Macaca fascicularis: one gene and its partners. The protein of the gene in region 3 purifies or fractionates together with the protein of the main gene of each other region. This does not show direct contact. Links are inferred from orthologs where the notes say so. Each region holds a gene or a part of one and is shown on either strand. Other genes may lie near its edges. The genes, in order: KDM6A, MTOR and FBXW7.

Region 1 (3,745 bases), on a different chromosome or scaffold from region 3:
AGTCAAATATTTTTAAATAAAATACTTTAAATACTCAAATTGGGAAAAAAAACTTTTAAGGCAGGAGACCAACAATTACTGACGCTTAAATCTTTCCAGAGCTAGTCACTGTTCATTTTTACAACAATAATTGCAATGAAGCCAATTAATACCTATGTAGTCAAAGTTTAATTCAAGTTTTCTGTATCGGTCAAAGGGGCCGGGCTTACTGAAAAGCATTATTTCCATTTAGTTTTCTGATCATTATATGCAATAAAACTCCTTATAATTACTTGGAAATAAAAACAAATTTGTAATTACAGATAAAAAAGAATTGATGACTCTGCTAAACCAAGCTACAGACAAAAATTCAGAACAACAAAAAAATCAACTTAAGAATAAAATGTTGGACTTACTTCAAACTTCCGTCTCAACTGTAACAATAAAGCTAGGTGTCAAATGCAAAGCTATGATTTCAGCTAGAAAAGAAAATGTCTAACGGATGCAACACCCATAGCACACACTCCAACTTTCACGGTCCCAATTACGAAGAAAGTATTCAAATATCATTGCAATCAGATTTTGGTCAGGAAATATAAATTGATGCCTAGAGACTGAGACTCCAGCCTTTGTTCAATAGCTTAAGGATGGGTAACTAAATGTGCTACAGGTTGATAAGCATTTACCAGGCTTATGCATGCTGCTTCCAAGCTTGTGAAAGGTACAAGAATTCTATATGCAAATAATCTTGGGTAATTTTTTTTTAAACACCACTGAGCTACACACTCCGAAGGAAAGGCTTATTCACGGCTACTATTTATTTCCATGTTTACCTCTACTCCCTCCCCCAAACCCCCCCCCCTTCACTTTCTCCTCCCACCCTGTCCCGCCATCTTGGGCCGATAGGAGCAGCCATTACTTAACTAAATGACAGTGCCAACAACTTTCCACACAAATAAACAGAGACTACACCCCGATTCCTCCCCAGTCTCCCCTGTCAGACACGCAGGAAATGAGGCTCCAGGAAGAGAACACATTTACAAATAACTACGGTATTTCTATGCCAAAAAGACCCAAAAAGTAAACAAGTCACCTAACTTCAGGTAACACACATTGCGATCGAGATACATGTCAACAGCCCAATGCAAACTCTTCACCGACCTAAACTCCGTGAAACTTCCCCCTTCTGGGAGCGGGGACACAAGAAAGCCTAAAACATTTGGTTAGCAGTAGGCATCACGAACAGCCTGCTTGAAGGAAAAGAATTTCTTTAAACCCGTGAGAGGCAAGTGAAGTCCGGAATTGGGGGAAATCTGAACACATTCACGATCCCTTGACTCTAAACATGCACGTCGAAGATCATCGGCCTATCCCCAAAAAGCTGTAAAATAGCAGGCAGTTTTGTCGACCCAGTTGAGCCCGGCCCCAAAGCGATCCCGTCTCTGTTCCTCCAGCTACAAGAGGAAAAGAGCAATTTAGCAAGGGAGCAAGCTGGGTACCCGTGGGTGGGGGGAGAGCAGAGGCAGGAAATAGTTTTCCGGAAGCCCCTCGACCATCGTCCGCGGCCACAATGAGCGCAGACCCGGCCGCGGGGCCCGGGGCGAGCGCGGCGCCGGCCGGGGAGACGGTGTCCGCGCTCCGACTCGCAGCTGCCTTACCTTGCCCAGTAGGGCCTTCGTCCTGGCGCCATCTTCATGAAACCTCACGAACCCGAAGAGGCGGCTGTGGGGAGAGACACAGGCTACTCGTTAACGCTCCGGGAACGCCACCGACCCGTCCCTGCCCGAGCCCGAGGCCCCGGCGGAGGCGGCGCGAAGAGCGCCAAACCGAGGTGCCCGCCCCGCCGCCGCCAGAGACAAGCCGCGCTCGGGCCTCCCGGGAGAGCGGCTACTGCCCGTCCGGAGCCGACCGGGCGAGTGACGGCGGCCCGTACCTGTCCAGTCCGCCGAGCGCCTCCCTCTCCTCGGCTGTCAGGCTGGGGGACGCCTCCTCGCTCTCGCCGCTCGCTTTTCCCGCCGCCATTTTCTTTTCCTCATCACCGAAAGCGGCGGCGGCAGCGGCGGCGGTAGCGAGCGACACTCCGCAGGATTTCATGGAAACGCAGCGAATTCACAACTCCAACGCCGACACCCCCCCTCGGACCGGGGCCCGCAATGACGCCCCCAATCTGCGCGCGGGACCAGCACACCAACTTTATCGCCGCCTCCTCCTCCGCCGCGGGCGGCGGCGACGAAAAATCCCAACGCGGCGGCGGTGAAGGCGGCGGCGGCAGGGGCTGCGAAGCCCCCGGGTCGGCAGCGGCGGCTTTCGGCTGTAGGGTCACATCGCGGGGTTGGGCAAGGGGCAGCCACGGGCGGGGACGGCGGGAACGGCCGGAGCGCGCAGGGCTGGGGAGCACTGGGGGGATTCGTTGGAGACACAAACTTCCCCGGCACCAGCACAAAGTTGTTGTAATTGTGTCACACAGCGAACCCCACGCCGCCGCCGTGACCCCCCCTCCCCGCCCGACTGGCGCCACCAATCGGCGCGGCCCGCACGACTCACGTGACCTTTGTTGACTCACGTCAGCCGTGGCTCCACTTAACTTGCTAGCTGCCCGAGCCCCGCCCACCGAGGCCGCCACCGAGAGGGGAGCGGGACGCAGGCCAATTCTGGCCGGTGGTTGGCTGCTGGGCGCGTCTGTCGGGGGAAGGGTTGTCACCGAGAGGGAGCTTCCTGTTAGGTTGTGCTGGTTAAATACACTGGGGCAGAGAATGGAGGGTCCGGGCCGTGTCACCTCGGGAACCACGGCAGGCTTTGGAGGGGGAGGGGAGTGGTGGGGAAGGGCGAGGTCCGGCAGCGCCCGCGGCGGGCGCGAGCGGCGGGCGAAGATGCCAAGGACGGCCTTTGCCTGCCTGGGAGCTCTGGGATGTGCCCAGACCGCGGCTCCGGCCGTCCCGCGCGCGCTCCAGGGGTCCCGGGACCCCACAGGGCCTGGTACAGGTCGCGTAGCCGGGAGGCGGTACACGGCCCTCTACCTCTGCCCTCCGAAGAAGGCTCAGACTTTGGCACTGCTGGAAATAATGGCCTCCGCGAGGAGTGCGCTTGGGGAGCGGCTGCCGGCCCGGTGCCCCGCGGTCCGGGTGCCGCCCTAGGCCAGACCTACGCTGGCAGCCCCGACCACCTCACCCGCGCCGAAAGTGAAGGGGGAAAGGCTCCCCTGACCCCCGCCCATACGCCCCAGGCCGGAGGGAATGAAGAGTCGCCCGCGGGGCCTGGCTTGCCGACCGTGGCTCCCCACCGCCAAAGGTCTGTCTGTTGGCGGCACTTTGGGGCCAGATTTTCGTGCTGTGTTTACCCTGTGTCTTATCAGTAGTTCATTACAGTCTTACAAGAAAAAGCAATGAGAAATTGTTAAGCGGGATCTGCAGAATGTTGGGTTCTATTGCCGTGATTTCAGTGGAGCCTTCTTACAAAAGTAGGGACTGCTTGTGGACAGACCTGAGAGAAGACATAATTAAATCCTCATCACAGCTGGTGGCCCAGGAAAGCCTTTCTATCCCCCAAAACCTGCAGGTTTGTAACCCCTAGACAACAGTAACACTTTGTTCTGTCTCTCAGGTGCAGGGGAAAGGCTGTAGTCTGGCTTTTAATCTTTAGTATAAGTGGAAAAAAAAAAAGAAAACAGGCCTTTCGACTACTCTTCTCAAAAGGCAAATTTATTTACTAAGCTGTATGTCATAACAGGGATAGGAAAAAATTAATGGACATGTAAAGACGATTCTCT
Region 2 (3,745 bases), on a different chromosome or scaffold from region 3:
AGAGATCTTATTGAGGAACATTTAGAAAGCCTAGATTCATTAAACAATGACTGATGTTTAAAAGAGGCAGTGTGGTAGGGAGGGTCAAATTGCGGGCTATGGGAGCTAGCCTACTTGGGTTTGAATCCTTGGGTTAGATACCTTGAGCAGTTTTGGAGGCCGAGTCAGGAGGACCACCTGAGGTCAGGAGTTCGAAACCAGCCTGGCCAACATGGTGAAATCCCATCTCTACTAAAAATACAAAACTTAGCTGGGCGTAGTGGCATGTGCCACCCGGGAGGCTGAGGCAGGAGAATCACTTGAACCTGGGACGGGAGGTTGCCCTGAGCCAAGATCCTGCCACTCCACTGTCTCAAACAAAAACAAACGAAAACAAAAACAAGGTTATATACCTTGAGAAAGACACTAAAAATGTTTCTTCAACTACAATAGGAAGATAATAGTACCTAGTTCATGGGTTGATGTGAGGACTAAATGAGTTAATACATGTCAAAAAGTATTTAAAACAGTGCAGGGCATATACTGAGTTCTTAATAATTGTTAGCTATTATTATTACTACTACTACTATGTACACGGCACAGTGCCAGGTAACAAATGTGGGGAGGTAGGGAAAGAATCAAAAATGACTAAGACTGCCCCTTTGCTCAAGTTCAGTCTAAAAAGAGAGATTATTATTCCACAGCAGCATTGTCTAATAGAAATATAGGCCAGGCACAGTGCCTCACGCCTGTAATCCCAGCACTTCGGGAGGCCAAGGCAGGCAGATCACCTGAGGTCAGGAGTTTGAGACCAGCCTGGGGAATATGGTGAAACTCCATCTCTACCAAAAATACAAAATTAGCCAGGCATGGCAGTGCGTGCCTGTAATCCCAGCTACTTGGGAGGTTGAGGCAGGAGAATCACTTGAACCCAGGAGGCGGAGGTTGCAGTGAGCCAAGATTGCGCCATTGCACTGCAGCCTGGGCGACAAGAGCAAAACTCCATCCCAATTGAAAAAAAAAAAAAAAAAAGGAAATACAGTGATCCACAAATGTAATTTTAAAGCTGCTGGTAGCCATATTTTAAAAGGTGAAAAGAAACAGGTGAAATTAATTACTTAAACTAATATATCCAAAATATCATTTCAACATGTTATCAATATTTTAAAAATTGATATAGTGTCCATTCTTTTTTTGTAGCGAGTCTTCAAAATCTAATGTGCATTTTACACTTACGACAATGTCAATCTGGACTAGTCACTTTTATTTATTTTTTGAGACAGAGTCTTGCTCTCCGTCACCCAGGCTGGAGTGCAGTGGCGTGATCTTGGCTCACTGCAACCTCCACCTCCTGGGTTCAAATGATTCTCCTGCTTCAGCTTCCCAAGTAGCTGGGACTACATATGTGCAGCACCACACCTGGCTAATTTTTTTTTGTATTTTTAGTAGAGATGGGGTTTCATCATGTTGGCTAGGCTGGTCTCAAATTCCTGACCTCAGGTGATCCACCCGCCTTGGCCTCCCAAAGTGCTGGGATTACAGGTGTGAGCCACCTGAACTAGTCACATTTCAAGTGTTCTACAGCCACATGTGGCTGGTGGTTCTTGTACTGAACAATGCAGTTCTACAGGGGACTAGCACTTCAAATGTAAGCTAAAAGAAACCAATTAGTTTCTGAGATCATTCCTTCATTCCTCAATTATGCCCACACTGCTATGGGTGGAACATATACCTATCCTAAGTATGTTCAGCTTATGCTACAAAACCAATTTCTCAAAATTCTTATTTTTGAACCAATTTGTAAGGCACAGAGGAAAAACAGGGAATAATTGGTTTTGAAAAGCTTTCAAATACTCCAGTGCCAAGAAGAAGACTGCAGAAAGAAATGTCATCCTTTAGGGGAGAAGAAACTTAAGAATCCCTACTAAGAAAACTACTCCAGTTTGTGTGTATGTGTGTGTGTATGAAAGGGGGGAAGGAGGCTAGCAAGGAAAGGCTCAGGAAAGAACCAGTGTAACTTCATACGGTCTGAGGCCCACAGGCCATCTGCTCCAGGCTGAATTCAATTAAACTTAGGATATCTGAAGTCAAACATCCTAAGGGTCTTGATAGGGCTTAAGTAAGTTAAAATTGGATGGGAGAAACAGGGATGGGGCTGGGGGAGAAGGCGAGAGGATGTACCCCAACGATGTAACCGAGCTCAGTTTCGGTGACTGGGTCTCTGAGAAGTGTCCACGGTGGAGGATAAGGGGCTGACACGGACGCTGGTGTTCCCTGGGGCAGAGATACAAAATTTTTGTACGTGGCTCAGAAAAAAGGGTGGCTGTAACGGGCAAAAGACCCAAAGGGCAGTACCAGAGCTGATGGACCGGCCTTCGGGGGACGTACCGCGGGCCGAAGGGTGCAGGGGTCTCTTGGGGGTCCCGGGGAGGTGGGCGTTGCCTCGAGGGGTGGGACTCAAGGGCTCAGACGATGCCCAGGTCGTGGGGCCGGCAGTGTGGGGACCCCACGTCCCAGACGGGCGGCTTCCCCTGCCCCCCCACGGGCAGGTTGGCCGTAGGTCTGGACATTACGCCGCCTCAGAGGGGTCGTTCCAGGCCCTAGACTCACCGTGCGGCTTCGGCCAAGGCCTCAGCTGCCGCCGCCAGCACCGCTACCGCCGCCTCAGGCCCCCTGCCCCACCGCCCGCCTTCCCCGCTGTCCTCTAAACCGGGAGCGAGGGAAGGAGGGTTCCTAGCCCTGAGGACCAATCGACACGTACAGGAAGAAGATGGACTGAAAAACAGGCCAATAGTAATGAAGAAGAAGTGAAGCTTCAGGACCCGGCTTCTCCAGGGGGCGGGGACTATTCAAATAGACAAACCACGCGGCCAGTGACAGCTGAAAACAGGCTTGGGTCCACTCGGGAGAACCAATCGGTCGTGAGTTGACCTCAGTCACTTCCACTCATACATCCGGTGCGGCGCTGCTAGGATTCCCCTCTGCATCCGGGCTGTGAACTCAGGGAGTCCGCTGTCTGGGTACCTCCGGATCGCACCAAGAGCGGCTAGCAGAGGTTCGCGACCCCTCCCGGTGTAATTCTGAGAGGAGAGTGTGAGCAATGCTGGCGCCCAGGAATTACTGCATCAGAAGACGTTTCGGGCTAGCGCTCTTTATGGATCCTATGATTTCTCTTTTGTTACATTTAATAAGCATTTGAAAATGTTTTTAATTAGATTTTCTCACTTTCCCAAAATTATCCAATTCAGGATCATTCCAGAGAAACCATAGCCAAGTTTTAACCAAAAGAGCTACTCATAAATAAAAAGTTTCAAAGAAACATTATATTTTTTTAATCGTTTCAAAAATCAATAGCTGGCCCGGCGCGGTGGCTCACGCCCGTAATCCCAGCACTTTGGGAGGCCGAGGCGGGCGGATCACTTAAGGTCAGGAGGAGTCGAGACCAGCCTGGCCAACATGGTGAAACTCTCCCGCGTCTCTACTAAAAATACAAAAATTAGGTGGGCATTGTGGCGCACGCCTGTAATCCCAGGTACTCGGGAGGCTGAGGCACGAGAATCGCCTGAACCCGGGAAGCAAAGGTTGTAGTGAGCTGAGATCGTGCCACTGCACTCCAGCCTGGGCGACTGAGAAATCTCCGTCTCAATGAATACATACATGCATGCATGCATGCATACATACATACATACATACATACCAAGGAAAATAAATAGCTGCTGGTCACAGTGGCCCACGCCTGTAATCCCAGCACTTTGGGAGGCTGAGG
Region 3 (3,745 bases):
TTGTGGAATCTGCTTTCATCATTGCTGCTGTTTTAATCTTTTCCTCATACTACTCACTTAAGACAGATTTCTGAGGATTCTGGTCCTTTTATCTTAAATTTCTTTTCCTAGAGAACTACACTTTAAACTTCATGAGTTTTTACTTGACTTTCCTTTCCAGGATAACATCTGTAGGAAAAGCTGCATAATAGTAATAACATTTATTTTAGAAAGAAAATAACCTTTGAGTCAGAACTGAAACACAGGCTAACATTTCTTGATGACAACGTACACTGATGAACCAAGATCAGAAGTTCTCGAAAGCCCCAAGCCATAAGAAAGAACCATTCGTAAAAGTGAGGCACTATTAAATTCTTCCCCTGACAGTTAAAAATCCTTCAACAATCTCCCAGAGGATGGCTCCCTTCCAATCCTCCCTTCCCGCCATCCTAACAATCTGCACGAGGATGGGTTCCTTCCTCTGCCCGGCATTTCGTCTCCTTGTCCACTAAAGACTCAGGTTGTGACTGTACTCAAGCCGCACCCCTGTTTCCTTTCACGGCTAGGAGGAGGGAAGGAATTTATTACAACTCATTTGTACAATGCACTGTAGTTTACAAAGCACTTGCACTTCCACCATATCCTCTGAGCTTCGTGAGTGCCACGTGAGAGAGGCATTCATTCATTCATTCATTCATCAAACATTTGCTCGTCCCGACCACACGTTATCCAACGCCGGGTCTCACCCCATGCCACGGGAAGGTTGGGGCGCTCTCTCCCTGGAGCAGGTGCAGCGGGTCAGGCTGTGCGGGAACTCCTCGATCAGTCCGGCTTTTCAAGGGTCTGGGGCCAAATGCCTCATCTTCGGGTGGTGCGTGCAGCTGTCTGAAGGCGCGGCCTGGGCCTCCTCTTTCCTCCCAAAGGAGCAGTCCCCACCTGCCCCGAAGGAAACCGCTACAGAGCAAGCTCTCCAGGCCGCCCTCGGGTCAGGGGTAAGATCGGGCGGCAGCTTAGGCTCGACTCGGCTCCTCCCCTTCCTCTCTTCAGTTCTGACGCGGCCGTAGAGGCGGCAGCGGCGGCGGCGGCTGCGAGTCCCGCGGCCCGAGGCGCACCCACCCGCTCGCCGATCCCCACTTCCTCTTCCCTTGGAGCGTCATCAGAGGGCGCCAGAGGCGCCCAGGGCGGGGTGGCTGGAAGGGTAAAAGAGGCCAGCGGAGGAAGCCTCAGAGCGGAAAGAAGAGGGAGGGGGAAGAGAGTGGTTGCTAGGTGACTTGCGTCATCGGCAGGCGCCGCTCTCCTCCCGCCCCTCTCTCTGGAGTGAGGCGAGAGCCCCGCACAGAGCGAGGCAGACAGCGAGCTGAGCTCCGGGCGCTGTCGCTGCTGCCGCCGCTGAGAGTGAGAGCGAAGGCGTATCCGAGAGACCCAGCCCCCCTGCACTGGCCGCCGAGACCTTCGCTCTCACCTGGGCCAGCGAGAGCCGCGGCCGCACTCCTCTCCCCCCCTCACCTTCCCGGCCGGCAGCGGCGGCTGCTGCACACGCCGGAGCCGGAGCCGGAGCCGGAGCCCGAGCCTGAGCCGGAGCCGGCGGCTTGGGGGGCAGGGAGGCGGCTACCACCGGCCGGGACTGGGTAGCTGCTCCGTGGTGAGAGAACGCTGAGGAGGCGCCGGAGCTTCTGCCTCGTCCCGGGGGGCCTGGGGCGAGAGACCCCCAAGGTGTAGGGAGGGGGGTCCCAGCCGCAGCGACACATGCGGGAGCCGGGAGCGGGGGCGGCGCCGAGCGGAGCCGGCCGGGTCCCTCGCCTCGCCGCCGCCTCGGCCACCCGCCCGGGGCCGTAGCATCTTGCCCCGGAGTGTATGAACCGGGGCCCCAACCAAGCTCGGCAACCACCCCCCGGCCGGGGGGGCGGGGACCCCGATGTGAAGCTGCGGCTGGGGCGGCGGAGAGAGCAGGACCGACGCCGCCGTCCTTTCCTCACCTTTCCCCTCCCCTCAGCCCCCTCCGGGGGTCTTCTCCCTTGGCCAGTCGCCGGCCCCCCGGCTCCTTGGCTGGACTCCGGGAGGAGTTCTTAGAGCCCCCCTCCCCCGCCCCAGTCCCGAGGGCGGCGGGGCCGGGGGGGACCCGGGGGGCCGGCTGCAGCCTCCACCCAGAGGAAACTTTACAAAAACAAAATTCGGAGTCTCCCAAACCTGACTGTCCCGGGAGAAGTGGCCCTGGACGGGCAGAAGCCGCAGCCTGAAAAGACCCAGGAAGAGGAAAAGAGGAGGTAAGCGGGGCCGCCGCCTCCTCTCCCCTGGCAGCACGGAAGAGACCCGGGTGGCCGCCTGGTTTAGCGACACGAGCACCGCTTCAACCTCAGTACCGCGCCGGAGCCTTCCGCAGCTGCCGCCTCAGTCCGAAGGAGGAAGGGAACCAACTCACTTTCTCGGCGCCGCGGCTCTTCTCTAAAAGTGTGAGTGGCCCCGGGAGAGGGGATTTAGGGGGAGAAAGTGGGAGGATGCCGGCGCTTCCTCCTGGAGTTTTGCTGATGTTCTCCAGTAGTGTTGGGAGTCTGTCAATGAGAGGGTCTAGCTTTATTCACAGAGGGGGAAAGGTGTTAGAGAGGCCTGTATTTTGTGACTTTTTAGCTCTTTGTACGAGTAATGCAAGTATGCAGGTTTTACTTGGAGGAGTTCTTTCTCCAGAGTGAATACTCGCACCTTTCTGGCCAGTAGTTGGCAAAGGGAAATTGAGGAAGCCAGAGCATATGTGCGCACAGAGGCCGTCTGTATCTGTAAACTTTTCCTGGTACTGTGGGTGTGTGCGGTTTACGTTTTGTTTCTGGGGTACTCTCATATAGGTTCCCGAGTGAGAACCACTTACCCTGTGGACCCCTGAAAGTAAAATTCCTTTGTTTTTTTTTTTAAACAAAACAAAACCAAAAGCCAGTCCTGAGAGAGGTTCATTTCAGTACCTATTGGTACAGGAGTTAAGCTTCTCAGTTCCTGGATCCAATTCATGTGTGTTAGTAGGACACTGTAACAGATGTCAGTTATTCAGGAACTTGAGTTCTCAGGAATCACAACTTTTTTGGGGAAGAGCATTTATCACATTAATCATTTTATAAAAGTTGTGATTTTTTTTCCCTTCACCCCCCCCTTTTTTTTTTTAGAGTAACAAATGACAACACTTTTTTATTTGGTTTGAGGACTTTTTTATTTGGTTTGAGGCTTTGCTCTTTTGAATTATCTTTATTTCTGTATCAATTTAGGATACACCTTTGATATTTAAGTCAGGAATGATTTTTTCTTTCCATTATTTTAAAGTTGAAGTTTATAAAACCTTTGACTTGTATTTTAGGTATCTTGTCAGAGTGCCAAGTTAAAGGTTCATAAAAGTAATTAACATTTCATATACAGACCTTAAGGGTTAAACATAGAGCAGGATTTTATGTAGGAAGGCATAGGCAGTACTATACTGAGAATTGTGGTCCATCTAGACAACTGTGGGCTCGTTCTGTCTGAAGCCACTGCTGAGAGATGCTTTGTGGGAATGAATGTAAGCCTGGGATTATCTCTCTATTCGAAGTTCTCCATTCAGGATCTTGATTAGATTAATTTAAAACTTTCTCAAACTTAACAATGTTTGTTTTTTTTTAAAGTAATGAGTTCTGCAAGTTTATTAGCCTGTGTATTATGTGACAATTCATTTACATATTCTGTACCTGTGTCCCTAAATTTTCAGGACACAGAGTTTATATTTCAAGAAATACCAGGACAAGCCTCAGTT

The links.
Region 1: the proteins of FBXW7 (region 3) and KDM6A purify together in Homo sapiens (affinity purification with mass spectrometry; 3 studies listed by BioGRID and IntAct, with this or other methods). This does not show direct contact. The link is inferred for Macaca fascicularis from reciprocal best matches to the Homo sapiens genes FBXW7 and KDM6A.
Region 2: the proteins of FBXW7 (region 3) and MTOR purify together in Homo sapiens (affinity purification with western blotting; 9 studies listed by BioGRID and IntAct, with this or other methods). This does not show direct contact. The link is inferred for Macaca fascicularis from reciprocal best matches to the Homo sapiens genes FBXW7 and MTOR.

The regions. Positions count from the first base shown.
Region 1 is NC_088395.1:44,930,871-44,934,615, reverse strand, and holds the start of KDM6A (lysine-specific demethylase 6A), read right to left. Parts: upstream 2,421-3,745; 5' UTR 2,074-2,420; coding exon 1,913-2,073; intron 1,702-1,912; coding exon 1,638-1,701; intron 1-1,637. UniProt on the Homo sapiens protein: Histone demethylase that specifically demethylates 'Lys-27' of histone H3, thereby playing a central role in histone code. Demethylates trimethylated and dimethylated but not monomethylated H3 'Lys-27'.
Region 2 is NC_088375.1:223,546,897-223,550,641, reverse strand, and holds the start of MTOR (serine/threonine-protein kinase mTOR), read right to left. Parts: upstream 2,686-3,745; 5' UTR 2,590-2,685; intron 2,254-2,589; 5' UTR 2,161-2,253; intron 1-2,160. UniProt on the Homo sapiens protein: Serine/threonine protein kinase which is a central regulator of cellular metabolism, growth and survival in response to hormones, growth factors, nutrients, energy and stress signals.
Region 3 is NC_088379.1:157,446,831-157,450,575, reverse strand, and holds the start of FBXW7 (F-box/WD repeat-containing protein 7), read left to right. Parts: upstream 1-1,270; 5' UTR 1,271-2,429; intron 2,430-3,745. UniProt on the Homo sapiens protein: Substrate recognition component of a SCF (SKP1-CUL1-F-box protein) E3 ubiquitin-protein ligase complex which mediates the ubiquitination and subsequent proteasomal degradation of target proteins.